Macaca mulatta: one gene and its partners. The main gene of each other region encodes a partner of the protein of the gene in region 4 in a complex. Links are inferred from orthologs where the notes say so. Each region holds a gene or a part of one and is shown on either strand. Other genes may lie near its edges.

Region 1 (4,230 bases), on a different chromosome or scaffold from region 4:
TCTTATCTACGTGCATTAATCTTTCCTCTTTCTTTTTACGTAACTTTTTTTTTTTTTTTTTGAGACGGAGTCTCGCTCTGTCGCCCAGGCTGGAGCACAGTGGTGTGATCTCAGCTCACTGCAACCTCCGCCTCCTGGGTTCAAGCAACTCTCCTGCCTCAGCCTCCCAAGTAGCTGGGATTACAGGCGCGCACCACCACGCCCAGCTAATTTTTGTATTTTTAGTAGACACAGGGTTTCCCCATGTTGGCCAGGCTGGTCTTTAACCCCTGACTTCAAGTGATTCTCTTGCCTTGGCCTCCCAAGGTGCTGGGATTATATGCATGAGCCACCACACCTGGCCTCTTTTGGGTAACTTTTAATTGTATTGTGTAATTTTTTTCCTGCACTTTTTCCCCCCCATAATACACGTGACAACTGATTGAACAGTACAAAAAGTTATCTACATAGACTAGGAAAAGCAGATCTTTCTCCCACTCCCCTGACCCTAAGTTCCCCTCCCCATATTCGTGTTTAACTCTTTAAAGATGCAATGTTTAGCTAGTGCCTGTGTCTAAGAAAACAAAACCGTATTTCTGTTTTTAAAGATCTGAAGTCAGTTCCATTTGTTTTGCTGCCTCTCAATCCTTTTAATTCAGCTAGCACTCAGTGATCCCTTGGGGCCTGATACGAGGTGGGTTTTCAAGGAAAAGGTCTACAGTTCAGAATGCCAGCCCAGGAGGTCGACTCTTCACACTCACTCCCCACCGTAGCCAGCCTGTTCCGTTCTACCCTAATTCTTGTTCAGGAGGAAACGTCTTTAAGGAGTTCCTTTCAGCAATGGGATTCCAGGATTCGAGACAAGTTGTGTAAACATTCTCTAGTTGGATGCCGCCCTTTCCATCTAAGAGAATCAAAACAATTTACCATCATCTACTATTCTGCATTTTAAATCACATAGAGTCTTGAATTAGAGTAAGAGTGGCCACTCCATGAGAGGCGCAAAGTCGCGTTTCCTAAAGTCTGGTAGTGAGCTAGCTGACAAGGCAGGACGACAGACCACAAGGTCCTTGAGGGGTTGTGTCTTACTTTTCAGTCACAGAGCTTGATAGAATGCCAGGCACATTGTAGATCCTGTTAAATATCCATTGAATAAAATGAACAACACTTGGGGTTCATCAAGTATATCCAGATTTAATTGAAATTTTTGCCACGAGACTCACACTTGGTTTCCAAGATGTTGACTCCTGAGTCTTAGTATATCCTCTAGAGTTCTGGAACCTGTTTGGTATTTGGAGAGAACTTTTCTCTCTCCTTTTATCTCCTATCAATATGCATCTAGCACTTGAGGAGGTTTAAACTGTCAATTTCGCATGTCATATATCTTGCAACTTAATTTTGCATGTTATATATCTTGCAACCAGGTTTAAGGACCTTTGGTTCCTAGAAGAATAAATGCCTCACACACAGCAAGGTCACAGCAAAAATAATTAACTTATTACAACAATAAAAGGCAAATCATAATTCCTATGTTTTCTTTAGTTAGAGATTGTCTAACTAATTTTTCTTTCCCTTAATTTGAGCTATATTGGATCACTTTGCATTTTTATATATTCTTAGAGGTATTCACATGTTTTCTTAAAATAGAAGATCCAGTCTTTTTCAATATCCCTGCTCCCACCACATTACCCCTTATATAGGTGCGCACAAAGTGGCCCTCATTTGAATCATTGCTAATGGATTGATTATTGTGGATTGTGATCCGATTCTCCACAAACCTGATCTTTAAAAACATTCCAGTTGTCTCACATTGCCAATAAGTTTCTAACTAGCTTGATTTGCTACTGACTGGACACCTTTCAGTTCCACGGAGAAGAATCACCAATGCGTACTGGGTACCGGGGTACCTGAGTATCTGAAACAGCCTTTAAACCTGTTAAAGTTTAAAGGTTGGATGGATGGATGCATGGACAAATGAATGGGTGGATGGGTTGTATACTTGGCCATTCTCACCAAGACAACATTCCTGGACAGTCTGTGTTTAATACATTTTTCCAAGAATTTTTATAAGGCCAGAATTGGAAAGAGCCCCCAGATTTATCTATTACAATCTGGGTATGACCTGGGAATCTTCTTTCCAACCTGCCTAGTTAACCCAGCCTGAAGTCCAGGAGCTGAAACTTAGTGTCTGTTGATCTGCCTGGCTTCTTTTTCTCTTAGACTCCTTGCTTTTCTTTCAGTATATTTTCTGAATCTTTTGATGGGGCAAAGGGAATATGGCTCCTACTGTGGGAAGGGTTTTAGTTTAAACAAAAAGTATGCATGTTAGAAAAACCAGCAAATACTAATTAGGAGAGTGACAGAATCTTCCCCTAAGATTTAAATACACACACACACACACACACACACAGACAATAAGTGGTTCCTGGGCAGAAAGCTTGGAGGGTTGGATTAGCCCTCCAGTCTAGTCCCCAACCTCCCCAAGCCCCCTGTAGATGGACAACAGGGGCGCACCCCTTCTTCCCAGCTTGAAGTCCTACTCACTGTAGATGGTCTGATGGGGTGCGCCATCCACGTGGCCATTCTTGTGGATCTGCAGGTGGTAGCTGTTCCTGGCTGTGGCTGTGTACAGGTGGATCAGGCCACCCCAGCTGGAGCCGAGCAATGGGGAGGCATTGGGATAGGCTCTGATGACGCTCATGCTGCAGACGCTGCACAAGGCACAGACCCAGAGCCTGAGGCGGGCCCCCAACATCACGCCCTGCTCTGAGTGGCTGGTGCTGAGATTGAAACCTGACACTCCTGTCGGGACTCTCCTGGCCCAGGCCTCACTGGCCTTTTCCTTCTCCCTTGCAAGTAGCTGGTGTGAGGATCCTAGACTGAATTCCCTCCTTTTTGCCATCAGACTTTTAAAGGGTAGCAGTGTGACATCAAACAGGAAAAACTCCGCTGTCCACATCCTCTGTGTTGTAATCAGCCCATTGAAAGAGAGTGCAGAGACCCCGGAGGCGCACGGAAGGCACGTCGGTTCCAGACACACACACCCCCCTCAATTTCAAGCCAACGCTCCAAAAAAATGAATGACGCGTGGGCAAAAGTTATCTGCCGCTCTGGGCTGTCTGTTGACCTGTCCCACGTCCATCAGGAAATGCGAAGGCAGCCAGCGGTTCCCAAAAAAAATCCAGCTTCAGTCAAGCAGTCAACCGACTCCCAGGCAATTAATCTCCCGTCGAGTTTACTTATTTTGGTTTTCTTTAAATTCCAATCAGCAAGTATGTATCCAGTGCTTAATCTATGAGCAGGATTCGGTGGCTAGCTTGTAGGATATAGAGATACATGACACCGTCAGGCAGATGGCATCCTCTGAGAACCCCCAATTCGTGAAAGATGGGAGCTGGGAGCAGGGGCACAAAAACCAAAGTTGCCATTTTGGGAAGATTTTGAAATGGAAGAAAAAGAAGCAAGGTCTTGAGGTCCCTGAACATGCCAAGGTTCGATTTCTCAGCGTCCTTAGTTTGGACTTCGCTGAACATGCCAAGTTTCAATTTCTCAGTTTCCCTAGTTTGGACTATCGAGGACAACTAAATGAATAGTCTCTCCAGGAGTAAGGAGACCCGTTCAGAGACCTCATGGGGATTGGAAAGGCTGCTGGCTGAGCACCGGGAATCCGAGCCTCAGGACAGGGTGTCCCCACATTTAGTGTCTGTACATGAGTGCTCAGCTTGGTGCTGGATGCCTGCCTGCAGATGCTGTTCACAGTGCGCCCTCTGGGAAGCTACACCTCATGTTGGGGGAAATAGTCCTGGCACGCACAGTCTAAAGGGGAGCAAGCTACTGCAACATACACCCGAAAAAATACCCAAGGAGACTGCTCCTCTTCCAATTTCCCATGTACTGAGTACATGCCATGTACAGGCATCAAGCTAGACATCACGTACAAGTTGATATAGGAGACAGCAAGATGTGATTCCTATCTCGAGGAGCTCAAATCTACTGCAGGAGGCAGATAAAAATAAGTAACCGTAATACAAAATGAGTGCAAGCATACAGGTATAGACAGAAAGAAATGGCATCTGTTACCCTACATTTGTGCAGTTTTTTTTAATAGTTTACAAAGCATTTTCACATCTATTAGCTCATTTGAACCTCACTGCCACTCTGTGAGAGGGGCACACCATGCATTATCAAGATTTTAATACTTTACATGGAGAAATTGAGATCTCAGTTTTTCCATGTCAAAGGCACAAAGCA
Region 2 (4,052 bases), on a different chromosome or scaffold from region 4:
CAGGAGACCCCCAAGCCCCTGGACTCCCACCCAAGCTCAGCTGTAACAAGGGGTGCCCCATTCCCAGTTCCAGCTCCAAGTACCTGAGAGCTGGGGGGCTGGGGGGTGAGTAACGAGGGGTTCCTAGGCTCACACAAGGACCTGGAGGCCACGCTCAGCCCAGGTTAATGAACCACCCAGAGGCCCACGCGGCTCAAAGTCCAGCCCGGCAGAGGAGGGGTGGGGGAGGATTCAGTCAGCACCTTCAGGAAAGACCCTGCACCCCGAGACCCCTGCTGGGGGGTGTGGCGCTGTGGGAGAGCCGACCTTGTCTTCCTCCCTGCACCCTGGGGGGTCCCCCTAGGCTCCAACCAGGAACACAGCCCTCTGGGGAGATGGCGGCTGTCCTGGCAGGGCCTGGGGTGGCCAGGGCAGTCCAGGGGCCAAAACCTTCCCCACCGCCCTTGACCACTGCCAGCCAAGGCTCCATAATTTATGTTCCCAGGCAAGCGCCAGCCTAGACCTCAGTCCATTTCACGAGGTCTTTGTATTTTTACTGCCCGGCCCATCTTGTTAAGGAACCGGATTAAATTTATTGACCGATCAACTCACTACCTGTTTCACCAGCTCCAGTGCGGGCGGGGTCGCCGCCCCAAGGCGGGGGGCGGGGCGTTCCAGGGGCGAGAAGGGGAGGCCCCGCGCGCCCGCCGGGGATCCGGGAGACGCTCTGTAGCCTGGCCGCCGCCCCTCCCCGGGGCTGGCTGACATTCCCGGGCCGTAGGGAGTAATATCTTTATCTGAATGAGAATACGAAAGCCAGGCTCCCCCCGCGGCCGCCCCTCCCGCACCCCTGGAAGCGGGGCCGCCCGAGCAGGCGCTAAAAGCGCGCGCTGACCTCCCGACGGCCCCTGTCACGCCGCTGAATGACACGCACATTCAAGCGCCGGGCCACTTTCATTCATAAAAAAAATGACATTGTTCCGGGAGGCTGCAGCCGCCGCCGGAGAAAGGGGCGCGGGGGCGCGGGCGGGGCGGCCGCCATCTGCCTCGGCCCTCCCGGCGCCCTCCCCGGCCCGCCGCGCCCGCAGCCGCTCACACCTCCCCGCGAGCCGCCGCGCCGCCATCAATGCGCGGTCTGTGGCCGCGCCGAGGTACAAAGGAGCGGCTGTTCGGGCCTGGGCCCGGGTGGGGCGCGAACTCACCGGGCCAGGGCCTCCCTCCGCGCGGCCGCCGGGCTGGGCTGTGCGCGCCCCCTTCGCCCGCCCGGAGCCGGCAGCGTGTACGGGGCGGCGGCACCGGAGCTCTCGGCCCGACCCGCGAGGAACCGCGGCGCGCGTGCAGGGCGGGCCGGGCGCCCCTTCCCCTCACCTCCCTTCAGACACTTGACGTCCCGCAGGACCTGGACCGCCAGCCCGGTCTAGGGCCCGCGACGCTGGGACACGCGCTCCTCGCTCGCCTGGAGCTCGGCGCGCACCCACGGGGAAGCGCCCTCAGCCCCCAGGCACTGGCAGGGTCGGCAGCGGGGGCGCTGGAGGCTGCAGCCTCGTCCGGCGGGCAGGGGCCGGGCTTCGCTGACGCGCACACCCACCCTCAGAAGTCCGGCCTCTCCCCTTGGCCGAAGCTCGCCACAAACTGGGGCCCGGGGGAGGGGGACGCCAACAATGGGAACTTTCCGTCTGCGCAGAACCCGAAGAACAGCGGGAATCGTGGAAATGGGGAAACCCGCGCCCTCCCGACAGGCCAGGGCTGGGGAGCCGCAGGGGACGGGGCTGCGGACGCCAACCCCCGGCCTGGCTCCCAGTGGCGGCCTCGCATTTGGGGGGTACCTGCGGCTCCAGGCGCCCCACAAGTCGCCGCGCTACCGCTGGCCGCGCTCTCCGGGACGGAGACAGCGGAATCCGGGCGCTGACCCCGGGGCGTCACTCACACCCGGAGTTCCCTCCGACCTGGGGCCGGTTCCCGTCCCCAACGCCTCTGCCCGCACGGGCCGGCCCCTCCCGTGCCCAGTGGGTCCCTTCTTACCTGCCACTCGCCCCACGACGCGCTGCTCCGTCCCCAAGGACTCCGAGGAGGCGCCGGCCACGATGGCCACTGCCACGCAGAGCGCGAGGGCGCAGGCAGGGGCGCCCATGGCGGGGGCGGGGGCCGCGGCGTCCTCAGGCGGCGCACGCGGGCATGCTGCCCCCCACGGCCCGGCGCGGGCACCGGCGGGAGGCGGGCGCCGCTTGGGAAACTGCGGGAGGAGGAGGGCAGCTCGTTAGCGGCGCGGGTAGGGACGAAAGCGGCGGTGGCCGGCTCCTGCGCCCCGACCCCTCCGACCCCCAGCCGCCCCGCCCGCCGCCGCCGCCGCCCAGAGCTCCCGGGCCGCCTGGCGCCGGCCGCCTCCTCCCCGCCGCGGTTCCTCCCTCCTCCCCCTTCCCTCCCTGGCTGCTGCAGAGCCCTCCCAGGGCGGCGGCGGCGGCGGCAAACTTTCCGGAGCGGGAAGCCCGCGCCCCGGCCCGGCCCGCCGCAGGGACTGCTGTGGTTCCGCGACTGCCGCGCCCCGGCCCCTCCGCGCGCACCGTTGGACCCCTCCGCGCGCCTGCCCGGACCCAAGCACCGACCTGGCGGGCGCCGGAGTCCGGCTCGCTAGGCGCGGCTCCCGCTCCGGCTCGCTGTCCGCAGGCCCAGCTCCCGCCCCGTCCCTCCGGCCGGCGGCCCGCCGGTGCGTCCGTGCGACCGGCAGAGCAGGACCGCGCGGCGCCAGCTGCTCGCGACGCCGCCACCGCCGCCGCCGCCGCCACCGCGCACTGAGCCTGGGTTGCCCCGCGCGCCGCAGCCAGTGGGGGACGGTCCGCGCCCCGCCCCGGCCCCGCCCCGCTCCCGCCCGGCCCCCGCCCGACTCGCCGGGGCGCAAGGCACGCCCCCTCGGGGCGGAGCGGGGCATCCGAGGGGGCGTGGCCGGGCGGGGGCGCCCGGCGGTCTCGAGGGCGTGGGAGCCGGGGCAGGCGGGCGAGGCCCCCAATCGCACCGCGGGGCGGCCCGGTGGGCGGTGGGCACGGGGCGCACCGAGGGCGAGCGCAGGCTTCCGTTTGCACAGCGCGCAGCTCGGGTCCCCTGAGGCTGTGCTCAGGAGCTCAGAGGGGAGGTCTCGGCGGGGGTCGGGATGTCAGGAGGCGTCGCCAAGATGCCGCGGAGCTGAACCCTGTGGTGTGAGCGGGAATTCCTCAGGTGGAGGAGGGCAGGGCGGCATTCCAGGCCGAGCCTCCGGTGTGCGCCGCAGGCCTGGGGCAGCCCGGTGCGGCCTGCGTACCTGACTGGCAAGGAGCAGAGGCTGCGTTGACTAACCTGGGGCCGAGCCGCATGCACCTAAGCCGCCTGAGTGCCCAGCCCCGAGAGGTCCCTACCCCTGCCCCCCAGGAGGACACAGGCCTGGGACTGGCTGCCTGCCCGGCCTAGAATGAAGGGCAGGGGCTGGAGACCCCTGGCTTGGGGAGCGCAGCCCGGCTCTGAGGGAGAATAACGAAGAGCTGGTGGCAGAGCCTGAGCTGGCCCGAGGTTCTAGGCTCCACGGGGCGGGCTCAGAGTCCAGCTGAGGAGGGTTGGGACTGGTGAGGTGGGTTCCCAGGAGGGGAAGATACTGCCCTGCGGGGGACGCTGCGGGTGTCTGGGTCCCCTTACCCCACATGACTGTTAGCTTCTGTGTCCACCCTCACAAGGAAAAGGCCAACTGCTCCCATCTTCAGGCAAAGCCCAAGGGGGTCCGGAGCCCATGGGAGCCAGTGAGCTGGGGGGAGGGCCGGCCGAGTCTGCTGCCCGCCTGGCTTGTGGCTTCCAGGACTAAATGTAGTCATCAGGAAAATGGGCGCTAAAAGTCCCTCAGTGACTGGCTGTTTGCTGACCCTACCCAGCCCATGCACAGCTCAACCCTGCAGCTCCCAGAGGCCAGGGTGTCCCTGGACTGACCTCAGGGCCTTGGAAGGGCTCTGCTCCCAGGGAGCCCTCATGCCCACCTCTCTGTGCCCACTTGGTGGCTCAGCACTTGTCCTCGGCCACCCTTGTTTCCTGCTCTGGCCAAGTCCATGTCCCCAGAC
Region 3 (3,508 bases), on a different chromosome or scaffold from region 4:
AGGAGGAAGAGGAGAGGAGAGGAGGAGGAGAGGAGGAGGAGGAGAGGAGGAGGAGGAGACGAGGAAGAGAGGAAGAGGGAGAGGAAGAGGAGGAGGAAGATGAGAGGAGGAGGAGAGGAGGAGAGGAAGATGAGGAGGAGAGGAGGAGGAGGAGGGGATGAGGAGGAGAGGAGGAGGAGGAGAGGAGGAGGAGGAGAGGAGGAGAGGAAGATGAGGAGGAGAGGAGGAGGAGGAGAGGATGAGGAGGAGAGGAGGAGGAGAGGAGGAGGAGGAGGAAGAGGAAGAGGAGGAGGAGTTGTTGTTAGTGTTGTCCTTCTGGCCGGCACAAACCCTGAGGCCAAGGTCAGGGCAGAGGAGGAGGACTGGAAAGTGGGGGTCGAGGGCAGGATGAGGCCTCACAGCTCTGGGGGGCAGTGTGGGGGTCGGTCCATCCGATGTCCCTCCCGCAGCAGTGAGAACAGCTCCTCCACCGGGATGCCAGGATACGGGGAGCCCCCGAGGGTGAAGATCTCCCACAGCAGGACCCCAAAAGACCACCTGGAGGCAGGGCCAGGGCTCAGTGTGGCCCAGCGCCCTCCCTAAGACCAGGGCTAGGACGCGGGACCCCACAGGCATGACCCACCCCAGCTGGTGGGGAGTGGGCTCCTCCTGGAGTGTGGTCCCACTCGGATCCCAGAACAAATCTGAAGGAGCCCTGGAGCGCAGGCCTCCTGGGGCCATGTGACTTTGGGCAGTGCCTTGCCCTTTTTGTGGGGTAGGACAGTGACCGCTGGCAGGACTCACACGTCACTCTGGTGTGTGTACACTCGGTCAAACAAGGCCTCGGGCGCCATCCACTTGACAGGCAGGCGGCCCTGGAGGGGAGGGAGGGCCTCAGTGCAGAGTCCCACGAGTTCCCATGCCTGCCACCCCAGGCCCAGCCCCCCTCCACTCCCATCCAGTTCTGCCCCATCTCCCTCACGTTGCTGGTTTTCTTATAGTAGTCAATGTGGTGGATGCCACGGGCCAGCCCAAAGTCAGCTATCTTCATCACATTGTCCTCCGTCACCAGCACATTGCGGGCAGCCAGGTCCCGGTGGATACACTGCAGGGAGTGGGGGCTTGGGTGCATCAGGACACCTGACCTTGAGCTGAGCACACACCACCCCCCAGCAGGCCCAGGGGCAGGGGCCCTCCACCCACTTTACAGAGGAGGTGGTCAAGGTTTAGAAATGGGGAACGCCCTCTCCTGTGTCCCCTCTCCCCTCTCCCCTCTCCCTTCTAGGGAAGTGTGAGGAACAAGTGGGGAAGGCAGGAAAGCATGAATGCCTGGGGACACTGAGGTGGGGTCATGAAAAAGAGCAGAAAGGAAGAAGTTGGGGACATTTAATGCCACAGGCCTGAGAGAGTGGAGCTGGAGAGATCGAGAGGGGCCCAGAGCCCTACCGCCTGTACCTTCCGGGACTCCAGATACTGCATGCCTCGGGCCACCTGGTAGGCGCAGGAGACCAGGACTGGGAAGGAGAGTGGCCCCTCACTGCTCTGAGGACCGTCCGGGCTGAGGTCAGGGCCCGGGGGGCGCCGGGCCCGCAGGAACTCCCGAAGGTTTCCCTTGGCAGCGCACTCCACGATTACATACAGGGGCCCTACAGAGGGAGTGGAGGGAGCTCGGAGAGACTGCCACAGCTTTGGCTCTGTACCCTAACGGCCCATGCAGCCGGCCCCGCCTTGGCCCCACCTTCCTGGGTGCAGACACCCAGCAGGTTGATGATGTTCTTGTGTCGGCCAATCAGCTTCATCACCTCCATCTCCGAGACCAGGTCAGCCAGGTCCTTGTCAGAGGCGTTGTCTGTAAGGGCAGCAGATGGGGTGAAGAGGCTGCTCTCCAACTACATGAGGGAACAGGCAGAGGCAGGGGCAGGGCGAGGCAGAGGCAGGGGCAGGGCGAGGCAGAGGCAGGGGCAGGGCGAGGTAGAGGCAGGGGCAGGGCGAGGAGCACTGGACCAGGGCTACGTAGGTCTAGGGCTGAATCCTTGCTAGTCTGTGTGGCCTTGAAAAAGTCTCCTAGTGTCTCTGAACCTCAGGGTCGTCTTGTGGGAAACAGAGCAGTGGGTCACACCCTACCTGTCACAGCAGTTGCAAGGATGCAACTATATCAAGGATCTGAGAGGCAGGCCTTCCAGTGGGCAGGTCCAGGAAACAGGAGAGAGGGGAAGAGCTCGGAGCAGGAAGGAAGCTGCCTCTGGAGGGGTTAGCGGTAGTCCCTACATGGGGTCAGAGCTTCTGGGAGCGGAAAGCAGGCTGGCACCCTGGGGTCTGTTTGACCAGGGCCTGGCGTCCAACTGGCCTGGGAATTCAGGGAGCCGGCGGCAGGCAGGGCGCAGCCAGGGAGCTTGGGAAGAAGGCTGCTCTGGCTTCTCTGGCTGGGCCCCTGGGGCTGACCTGTGGCCCTGGGCCAGTGATGTAACACTCCCCACCCACACACGGCAATGTCACAATGCACATTTCTCAATCCCTGCCTCCCAGGGAGCACCAGGTGGCCCCAGCTGTGTAGAGAGGAGGGGAGGAGCAGAAGAGCAGTTGAGGCCATTCTTGCAGGGGGCGCTGGGGAACTGCAACGAGAGGACCTGATGGGCGGGGTACGGGAGTGCCTGGCAAGAGCACCCTCGGGGCTGGGACTGGGTGCAAGCAGAAGGGCTGTCCTCCTAGAGCAGTGGACGCGGGATGGACCTAGGGAGGGTCCCAGGGAGGCTGAGGGTGTGTCTGGGGGGAACCACAGGGAAGGCGGGGGAGGGCCTGTGAGGCTGAGAAGAGGTGAAGTCAAGGCTGACACAGACTGACGCTGACAGAGGATATCAAGCCTGTCACACCAAATCCTTCTCATCATCGTCACCCCAATGGTGACGATTTGTTGAGGGCTGACTATGAGCCAGGCACTTTCCACAGTCCCTGGGCTGGGAGTAGGGACTGTTATTTACCCCATATGACACGAGGGAAAACTGAGGCTCAGAAGTCACTTGCCAGGGTCAGGAGCAGAGCTGAACTGCAGGTTTAAAGGTGGGATCCCACAGCCTCTCCCAGCTCCAGGGCTCACCCGGTAGCACTGTGATCCCCTTCTATTAGTCCCAATGCCATAGCACCTCCTCCAGGCTGCCACATTCACCTTTTACTTTTATTTCTTTTTTTTTTTTCAGATAGGGTTTCACTCTGTTGCCCAAGTTGGAATACAGTGGCGTGATCATGGCTCACTGCAACCTCCAACTCCTGGGTTCAAGGGATCCTCCTGCCTCAGCCTTCCTAGTAACTGGGACTAAAGGCACACACCACCACACCCAACTAATTTTCTTATTTTTTTTTTTAGAGATGAAGTCTCGCCATGTTGCCCAGGTTGGCCTCGAACTCCTGGATTCAAGTGATCCTCCCACCTCGGTCTCCCAAAGTGCTGGCATTACAGGTGTGAGCCACCACGCTGGGTCACACTCACCTTTGAGCATCTTGACAGCCACAGTACTGGCTTGGTCAGGTCGGG
Region 4 (3,508 bases):
GCATCTCAGTGTACCCTCTACCTGCATTCCGCTTAACCAAGCGACCCGAGCAACTAACACAAGGCTTTGGAGACACTAGACATCCAATAAGTGCTTACTAGAGTATCCAATCAAATGCTGGAAAACAAGTCCCTTCAAAATTTGGGAAATTTAAAAGAATGTTAAGGGCTTACTACTGAGAAGATGCTCAATAAATATTGGTTGATCATTTTGAAGAAATTTCATATCATTTCAAAGACTATTGCTAAAAAAGACATTCTGACCAGTGAATCACTGGATCTAGGGTTTACTTTCTTAGGGTATCTCTGCACATTTGTGGAGCCCACAGTTGTGCCTCTGGAGGAGTCCGCCTCATGTTCCTGCCTCTGTCTCAGCCCCACCACTGAAACTCGGAGGCTTTGGAGTTTTGTGTTAGATCCTGTTCGTGAAAAAACTCAACTGCCTTAAAAAGGATCAAAAACCACAATGTGAAAAGAGAGTGTTTTATCTTTTCACTGTCTTAATCGGATCTTAAATATTGATATGTTTTAAATTTATTTCTCTTTGCATCTAACTTAAACAAGATGAAGATAGGAAGATTTCTGGAGAGCAGGGTGCAACATTCCAAACTGTATCCTTAGTGTGCTCATAAGGAATTGGTTTTGGCTCTAAGAACGGACAATGTGCCGTGACAATCAGCCTAGGAAGGAAGCACTACTTACTAGTGATAGGGCTTGGTGAGACTGCTGATAGGTTTTGCCAGCTGACTTACTTGAATGTAGTTGTCAACAATTCCCCAAGCAAAGTCACAGGGAAATGTCCCTTCTAGGGGCTGATTTTCAGGTAAAGGAGGGAAGCCATTTTTCTCTATCAGCTTTTGGTAGAACAAGGCTGAAGACTTTGGCAACAACGTCTTTTCCTGGCTTAGAAAGTCGACATAGAAGAGTCCACGCCTGATGCTGTAACCTCTGTGCCACTCGAAACCGTCCATGAGGGACCACGCGGTGTACCCGATGACATCTACCCCATCCAGCTTGATGGCTGCAAAGGGAAGAGGGGACAAGAGCAACACGACCCTTCGCTGGGCACTTGCATCATGATTCAAGAGCATCTGAGCGTTCTCCTACTTAAATAAAGTGTAATGCTTCTTGTTTGGTAAGCCAATGATTTCTCTTCTTGACAAACACTCTAATCAAACCTATATAACTCTACAAATAAATGCCCTCAAAATAGGCCTATCAATATGTTTTTTTGGATTTCTGAGCACCTCGACAGAATAATTCCTTATTTATAATAGATGTTCTACAGGGCTGGAAAGATGTCTTGTACCACTTTCCATCCTAGACACCCAGCATTGTGTCTGATGCAATAAATAAATAAATGAAGGCTTTAAAAGCATGATCTATTTATACTGTTTTCTCTAGGAAACATGGACATTCCTTTTCCTTTAAAGTGTTTTACTCAACCAAAATAACAAGAACTGAAAAACATGTGCAGAGAGCTAGATATCCTGGGATTTATGTTCAATTTAATCTAAAAATCTAGATTAGTAACTCTGAAAGTTAAGTAATTACAAATATTATAACCCAGTTTCTCATTTACAAATGGGTTTTTAAAAATTACTTCAAGTTCCTCAAGACCCCAAATGAGAAAGGTGTTACACGAATGCATTCCTACTATTGCCAAATTGAATGTCTCCATTAGGATTTAAAAATATAAATTCACATAGTTCATGTTAGATAATCTTGGAGATTTTTTTCTAGAAGACTTTGGCAGGAAATGAGAACTTTACCCAAAATCATACCTTTTAAGGTTTCCATGATGAACTTTTTGAGGTAATACATATATTTGGCATCATCTCTCTTAGTGGTCCCTGAGACAAACCAGCCATTTTCCACAATAAATATTTGAGGATGGTTATATTCAAGGTCAATCCAGGAAAGCAGTTGTCTCAGGCTGGGAGATTCTAATTGGCGGAATTTCATGTGAGGGTCCAAAAGTTGAAAACTCAAGGTTGGACCAAAGGAAAGAGCAAAAAAGTCAGCAGTTCCTTTGATGAACTTTTTCTCAGATTCAGTAAAATCAGGCAGAAGAGACGAAAGGTTATTCTTCATGCTCTCGGGATAGTCACCATCAATAAATATGGGTTTGGCAAACCAGCCTAGTACAAAGTCCAGAGATTTTTGACATTCTTTGATGCTATGGTCGGTCATTCTTCGAGGATTGATCCAGTGAGAGCTTAGGGCGATGGACACCTGGCCTCCCTGAGTGGGACGGAAAGAAGTATTGTAGAGATGCCAGACTTTGGCATGAGCCTATGAAAAGAAAAACCATGACGAATTTATCTCTAGTTGTGAAGAGAAATGCAATATAATACTTGAATCCCCAACTCAAATTATATGTTTCTCATCAAGCCTAACTTAATGACTAACAATGTAAAAATCAGCTGGAACCAATAAATTATTTCAAAGGTAGGTCACCCCACAGTGAGGTGCTACCAGGACTAGAGTTATTTCCATTGATTTTTAGCAGTCAGTGGAAAAATGTAAATTCCTTGGGTTGAGTGTGTGTTATCCACATTTTGAAAAGCTAATGAAATAAAAGAATTTGTTATAATATCTTACTATTTAATTGACTTTGGATTATGTACTTTTTAATTTACGGGTTTTGTGAAAAGAACCAATGCTACATCTGTGATCACACCAGGAATTTCTAAATAGGATTATATTTTTTATCCTGAAACTGGGAGTTTTCAAAATGACTCAGGTCATTGGAGTTAATTTACTGTTTCAGAGTCATCTCTCATAGCTAAAATTCTAACAAGCAATCTTCATTCTTCCCTAAGAAGAATCAGTACAATAAATTAAAGAACCCACTCCAGTATCTAACCTTGGCCTACCCTCCAGAACTCTGGGACAGTTCTGGTTTCCCACAGACCCAGGGTGCAAGGTACAAGCCAAGAGCAAAAAACAGCAAAATACAGCTGCAAGGAGATCAGATGTCCATTGTTTGCATGCAGCCAGGAGTTTCGTACAGCAATGAAAAGGGCTTTGCATCCATAAAACCAACTTTATACTCCCATAAATTCTTACTGACTTCTAATATCTTATTTTCATTTGTTTCCTTTTTATCTACAAAGAAGAGTGAAAATTATAGGAGTTTTTTCTCCCCTACTTGAAGTGAGTTTCTCTTTCCCTTTGAATTCCTTGATTTACTCTCCCTATTTTCCTACAAAGACAAGTGTTGTTTATCAGCCTTTATTCCCCTAACATATCCTCTTTGAAAACTCCATTCTCATTCTCTGCTTGACTCCATATATTCTCCAGAATGATCATGCCAATTTTCATTCCACTTCCTGGGCCTGCAGAAACTCCTTTGTTCATTGAGCCAAATAGCCTCTTCAACATATCCTAAATATTCCTCTCTTGGTTCAATTCAGTACAGGCACCCAAGAATGGCCTCATCAACATTCTTAGGGGTTCAGCCTAACATTTCAATGGAATAAGATAGTTTATGGCTAACTTTTCTT
Region 5 (4,178 bases), on a different chromosome or scaffold from region 4:
TCCCAAAGTGCTGCAATTACAGGTGTGAGCCACCGCCCCCCTCCCCCAACTCTTTTCTTAAATTAGCCAGGGAGGCGTGGGTGGGGTGGGTGAGGAGTTGGGTGGGGGTAACTCATTCAGTATTCAAACTTCTACAAGTTTTGGGGATGAGGTGAACAGGCCCTGCCACTAACTTACATAGTGACTTCTATTTGTGTAGTATTTTTGGTCCACGGAGAGCTATCATTTTATTTGATTCTTACGATCATCTTGTGAAGGAGTATCAACAGATACTGCTGTTTTGATTTTATCAGATACAAGATTTGTCGTACATCAAACTTCACAAATGATGGACAGAATGGAGGAATCCTTCAGACCTAGTGCTGCCTACTTCCCACCCCAACGGTGGCCTCAGCCTGGGCTTTCACATCACAGGCCCCACGGAGACTTGGAAAAAATACAGGCTTTTGGCTCCTTCTTGGGACAGCCTGATTCCTCATGTCTGAGCAGGCCCATGAATTTGTATTTTTCAGACGTTCCCTGGAGGACCCGTGTCCATCTGGATTAGGAAACCACTACATTATACCACCCCGCGGCAAGACTCAGGGGGAAGAATTTAGCCACTTTCCTGAGTTCCACAGTACTGGAGGGTGTTCTGAGTGGGCTGTGATTAATTTCCAAACCAACCACACCTCTCCCCTCAACTCCCACTTACTCTTTGCTTCCTAGACGTTCACTTCAGGCTGGAGACTTCTGAAGACCAACAACATTGCTGTAGAATTTACAGGGTCCAGTTCCCGGTGGAGCACAAAACCTAAATTATGTGGCTGGGGAAAGCGGAGATCCAATGGAAGGGTGTGAGGAGGGGCTGACCTTCTCATAATAAAACCAGCTTGTATTTACTAGGTGTTAACTATGCGCCAGGCCCTCGTTGACCTCTCGACTCTATACGAAAAAGCACTATTATCCCCCTTTCACAGATGGGAAAACCGAGATTTAGAACGCGAAAATCATTCCCCAAGGTGCACAGACTCCAAAGTCCACGCTACCAGGTACAATCTCAAGGCTGCGGCGTCTCTTCACCTGTCCCCCACACCCCCCCAAACTGCAGCTATGTCTAGGGCCTGACATTCCGGCGCCCTCTGGGACGCGCTCAGATGCAGGGGCGCAAGCGCCAAAGGAGACCAGGCTGCAGGAAGAGAAGGGCAGAGCGCCGGACAGCTCGGCCCGCTCGGCCGGCTCCCCCTCCTCTGGGGCCGCGGCTGGAGAACTACAAGGCCCAGCAGGCAGCGGCAGGGGGCGGAGGCGGAGGAGGGACCAGCGCCGGTGGGAGTGAGAGGGCGAGCCCTCGCGCCTCGCCGGCGCACAGCGCTCGGAGCGCTCCTTCGGCCACAGGCGCGGCGTCCTCGGCGGCGGGCGGCAGTGAGCGGGAGCCGGGACGCTGGTGCAGCCGTAGCGCGCGGAGGAACCCGGGCTGTGCCGGCAGCAGGGCCACGTCCGGACGGGACCGAGACTCCGCGTAGCGCATTGCGGCGACCTCGCCTTCCCCGGCCGCGAGCGCGCAGCTGCTCGAAAAGCCGCGGAACCCGAGGACTTTCTCCCGTCCGAGCTCGGGGCGCCCCACAGGGCGCACGGTACCCGTGCTGCAGTCGGGCACGCCGCGGCGCCGGGGCCTCCGCGGAACGATGGAGCCCGGTCTGCAAGGAGCGTGAGACGCCGCCGCCGCGGTCTGGAAAAGAGGGGCACAAGGTCTGGAGACCCCGGGCGGCGGACGGGAGCCCTCCCCCCGCCCCGCCTCCGGGGCATCAGCTCCGGCTCCATTGTTCCCGCCCGGGCTGGAGGCGCCGAGCACCGAGCGCCGCCGGGAGTCGAGCGCCGGCCGCGGAGCTCTCGCGACCCCGCCAGGACCCGAAAAGAGCCCGGGGGCGGCGGGCCGGAGCCGGGGACGCGGGCACACGCCCGCTCGCGCAAGCCACGGCGGACTTTCCCGAGGCGGAACCTCCACGCCGAGCGAGGTAAGAGTCGCGGCGCCCCCGGATCCGGGGCTGGCTTGGCGTCCCGAGCGGCCCCCGGCGCCGGAGCCTCCCGGCTGCGCGCTTTGCCCGCCGCAGCCCAGCCGGGACCGGCGCCTCCCTCCGCTCGCCGCCCGCCCCCTCCACCTCCCGGCTCCCTCCCGGGCGATCCGCGCCCCCCTTGGGTCTCTCCTCCCTTCCCTCCGCCCGCGTCTCCTTCTGCGCCCCCTCCCTACGCTCGTCCCGCCGCTCTTCCCGCTGCCCAACTTTTCCGCCAACTCGCGCTCGGGAGCTGGCGAGGCGGCGGCGGCTCCTCGGTGAGTCCTGGGAAGGACAGGCCCGGGGCGAAAGCGGCGAGGCCCGCGGTTTCCTGGACTGGGGAGGAGGGCGGGAGTGGGCGGCGAGGTGGGGTGCGTTGTGTGTGTGTTGTGTGTGTGTTGCATTCCACTCCATCTCTTTTTGGTCCCCTTTTGGGGATTCACCCCCAATTCAGCAGGTAGCTTTGGGCTCAACGCTAAAAATCCAGGACATTCCTCAGTCCTTTTCCATCCCCGCTAAACCTGGGGTCCGGGTTGTGGGCGAATGGAGTAGGGGATGAACTGCAGAGGACGTGGAGGGCTAGGTTAGCTTCTCTTGGAATAGGCTTTAAGGAGGTGTCGTCACCAAATGGCTGAATCTGCTTGAGCTGAGAGCGAAAAACGACTCCGCTTTCCAGAAGGGGTGATCTTATGACTTGGACGGTCTCTGAGAGGGTCGGAAGTTTGGGGAACGGGAGGACGACCCACAGTCGTTAAGCCGAGGTATGGGACGGGGGCGGGAGGGCCGTTCCGTCCCAATCTCGTTCCTGGAGGTGGGGGAAGGGATGAGGTTTTTGTCCGGTGCGGTTCACTCGGCAGCGATGCGTAGGCTTCTCTGGCCCAGACCCCTCTGCACCCCGCTTCCCCTCCCGTTATGTTTAGGGTTGGGAGAAAAGGGAGGCTACGACCCATGTTTGCAGAGGAATTTGTGGACCTTGTAGATGGGGTTCATATAGAACACACGCCCCCTATGAAGCAGCCAGACACTTTTTTGGTGGTGGTGGGGCGGGGGGTGTGAAGCGTGTTTCTTGTTCTGGTCCCAGAAGCTATCAACCCGTTTGAAAAACATTACCACGATGTCTTTCTCCCCCAGCCCTCCCCCACCCCCATTTTCCAGATGTAACAGCCGCATCTGGTTCCGTTTCACCCCACACGGGTACACCGCAGCCGCGTTATTAACTTCCCTCTTCCTCCCCTCCCCCTCCCCCAAATTGAAACTCGGATTCTTCAACTCGTCTTGACCACCTCCCTCCTTAACATTTCTGGAGACATGGAGATGCGGCGTTGAGAAAAGAAAGTTCCCTTGGATCCCGAGTTATCGAAGATCTCACTAAGTTAGTTGTTCGCCGCCGCTAGTGGGTGGCGGCGGTCGGGGTGCTTTCTGGATTGCGCAGAAAAGAGGCATCTTGGGAGATGGGTCCAAGGTTTTAGGGGGTGGCATTCGCGAACGGTTCATCCGCTAGACTAGGGGAGGCTCTTTGGCTGTGCGTCTGGCCAGAACTGGCCTTGACGATGGAAGTTTCTGGAACCAAAGCGTTGCTTTCTCTCCCTTGTGTTATAGCTGGAGCTGCGAGAGCGCCTGCCCTGCCCGGAGCCCGCGGTCCCCTCTCGGCCGCCCCTCGGTGGCGTCACGCGCCCCTCCCGGAGCGAGCCCGGTGCGCTGGGCCGGGGGCGTGGGCGACTGCTGCCAGAGGCGCTCCCTGTGTGTTTTTAAGGACTGATTTGGGACGCATCCCCCGGAAACTAAAGTGGGGCGTTTTACCATTTAAGTAACGGCTACAGGTTTGAAAGCGGGGGGTTGGATTGTCCAGTTGTGTTTGGTAATAGTCTTTGAGGCAGGAAAGCGCCTTGTGGTCCAAAGTTGCGGGAGGGTGGAGAGAGTCAGTCTCTCTCACCCTCTTCTTTCCAGCCTCTCTCAGATTGAAAACACTTCTCTGGTTTCCTTCTTTGGGCGGTAGTTTTGGAGGCTGTAATGAAATCGCACTTTCTCTAGACGTGGTAATTAAGGTGACTGTTTCCTCCGCAGATGTGCCCTACCCTTTGCACCTCCGGACCAGGGCTTTTTTTGGAATACTATCTAGCCTTGAGACTGTTTAGCAGAAAGTGGCCA

The links.
Region 1: the proteins of KL (region 4) and FGF23 are in contact, whole or in part, in a cryo-EM structure (PDB 7YSH), measured with the Homo sapiens proteins. The link is inferred for Macaca mulatta from reciprocal best matches to the Homo sapiens genes KL and FGF23. Residues at the interface, in NP_004786.2 of Homo sapiens: Phe377, Lys385, Leu389, Glu390, Pro392, Trp417, Phe418, Ser420, Lys429, Tyr432, Tyr433, Lys436, Phe437, Arg468, Ser471, Ile472, Arg556, Arg693, Asn694, Met695, Thr696, Tyr697, Ile735, Val752, Phe755, Asp756, Asn782, Asn783, Leu785, Ile812; in NP_065689.1 of Homo sapiens: Leu39, Met74, Ala80, Val88, Arg91, Leu166, Ile167, Phe169, Asn170, Ile173, Arg175, His177, Asp184, Ser185, Glu186, Arg187, Asp188, Pro189, Leu190, Asn191, Val192, Leu193, Lys194, Pro195, Arg196, Ala197, Arg198, Met199, Thr200, Pro201.
Region 2: the proteins of KL (region 4) and FGFR3 are in contact, whole or in part, in a cryo-EM structure (PDB 7YSU), measured with the Homo sapiens proteins. The link is inferred for Macaca mulatta from reciprocal best matches to the Homo sapiens genes KL and FGFR3. Residues at the interface, in NP_004786.2 of Homo sapiens: Ser539, Gln540, Phe541, Thr542, Asp543, Asn545, Val546, Tyr547, Leu548, Trp549, Asp550, Val551, Ser554, Lys555, Arg556, Leu557, Val563, Lys566, Arg568, Tyr571, Val573, Ala576, Pro580; in NP_000133.1 of Homo sapiens: Gln286, Leu288, His290, Val291, Val293, Gly299, Thr303, Pro304, Tyr305, Val306, Thr307, Val308, Leu309, Lys310, Glu320, Leu324, Ser325, Leu326, His327, Asn328, Val329, Glu332, Asp333, Thr338, Leu340, Phe347, His349.
Region 3: the proteins of KL (region 4) and FGFR4 are in contact, whole or in part, in a cryo-EM structure (PDB 7YSW), measured with the Homo sapiens proteins. The link is inferred for Macaca mulatta from reciprocal best matches to the Homo sapiens genes KL and FGFR4. Residues at the interface, in NP_004786.2 of Homo sapiens: Ser539, Gln540, Phe541, Thr542, Asp543, Asn545, Val546, Tyr547, Leu548, Trp549, Asp550, Val551, His553, Ser554, Lys555, Arg556, Leu557, Ile558, Val563, Thr565, Arg568, Tyr571, Val573, Ala576, Gln579, Pro580, Glu625, Arg628; in NP_001341913.1 of Homo sapiens: Asp266, Gln282, Leu284, His286, Ile287, Ile289, Gly295, Ala296, Asp297, Gly298, Phe299, Pro300, Tyr301, Val302, Gln303, Val304, Leu305, Lys306, Asn311, Ser312, Glu314, Leu318, Tyr319, Leu320, Arg321, Asn322, Asp327, Thr332, Leu334, Leu341.
Region 5: the proteins of KL (region 4) and FGFR1 are in contact, whole or in part, in a cryo-EM structure (PDB 7YSH), measured with the Homo sapiens proteins. The link is inferred for Macaca mulatta from reciprocal best matches to the Homo sapiens genes KL and FGFR1. Residues at the interface, in NP_004786.2 of Homo sapiens: Ser539, Gln540, Phe541, Asp543, Leu544, Asn545, Val546, Tyr547, Leu548, Trp549, Asp550, Val551, Lys555, Arg556, Leu557, Val560, Val563, Thr565, Lys566, Arg568, Tyr571, Val573, Ala576, Glu625, Arg628; in NP_075598.2 of Homo sapiens: Asn272, Gln288, Leu290, His292, Ile293, Asn296, Gly301, Pro302, Leu305, Pro306, Tyr307, Val308, Gln309, Ile310, Leu311, Lys312, Glu322, Leu326, His327, Leu328, Arg329, Asn330, Glu334, Asp335, Thr340, Leu342, Leu349, His351.

Annotation. Positions count from the first base shown.
Region 1 is NC_133416.1:5,266,276-5,270,505, forward strand, and holds the start of FGF23 (fibroblast growth factor 23 precursor), read right to left. Parts: upstream 2,803-4,230; 5' UTR 2,735-2,802; coding exon 2,524-2,734; intron 1-2,523. UniProt on the Homo sapiens protein: Regulator of phosphate homeostasis. Inhibits renal tubular phosphate transport by reducing SLC34A1 levels. Up-regulates EGR1 expression in the presence of KL. Acts directly on the parathyroid to decrease PTH secretion. Regulator of vitamin-D metabolism.
Region 2 is NC_133410.1:1,910,158-1,914,209, reverse strand, and holds the start of FGFR3 (fibroblast growth factor receptor 3), read right to left. Parts: upstream 2,804-4,052; 5' UTR 2,583-2,803; intron 2,213-2,582; 5' UTR 2,111-2,212; coding exon 2,002-2,110; intron 1-2,001.
Region 3 is NC_133411.1:186,058,382-186,061,889, reverse strand, and holds part of FGFR4 (fibroblast growth factor receptor 4), read right to left. Parts: coding exon 3,464-3,508; intron 1,829-3,463; coding exon 1,718-1,828; intron 1,626-1,717; coding exon 1,435-1,625; intron 1,085-1,434; coding exon 962-1,084; intron 855-961; coding exon 784-854; intron 538-783; coding exon 400-537; intron 1-399. UniProt on the Homo sapiens protein: Tyrosine-protein kinase that acts as a cell-surface receptor for fibroblast growth factors and plays a role in the regulation of cell proliferation, differentiation and migration, and in regulation of lipid metabolism, bile acid biosynthesis, glucose uptake, vitamin D metabolism and phosphate homeostasis.
Region 4 is NC_133422.1:12,830,296-12,833,803, reverse strand, and holds part of KL (klotho), read right to left. Parts: intron 2,295-3,508; coding exon 1,784-2,294; intron 1,021-1,783; coding exon 752-1,020; intron 1-751. UniProt on the Homo sapiens protein: May have weak glycosidase activity towards glucuronylated steroids. However, it lacks essential active site Glu residues at positions 239 and 872, suggesting it may be inactive as a glycosidase in vivo.
Region 5 is NC_133413.1:40,411,226-40,415,403, reverse strand, and holds the start of FGFR1 (fibroblast growth factor receptor 1 precursor), read left to right. Parts: upstream 1-1,374; 5' UTR 1,375-1,994; exon of another isoform or gene 1,995-2,791; intron 2,792-3,276; exon of another isoform or gene 3,277-3,402; intron 3,403-4,178. UniProt on the Homo sapiens protein: Tyrosine-protein kinase that acts as a cell-surface receptor for fibroblast growth factors and plays an essential role in the regulation of embryonic development, cell proliferation, differentiation and migration.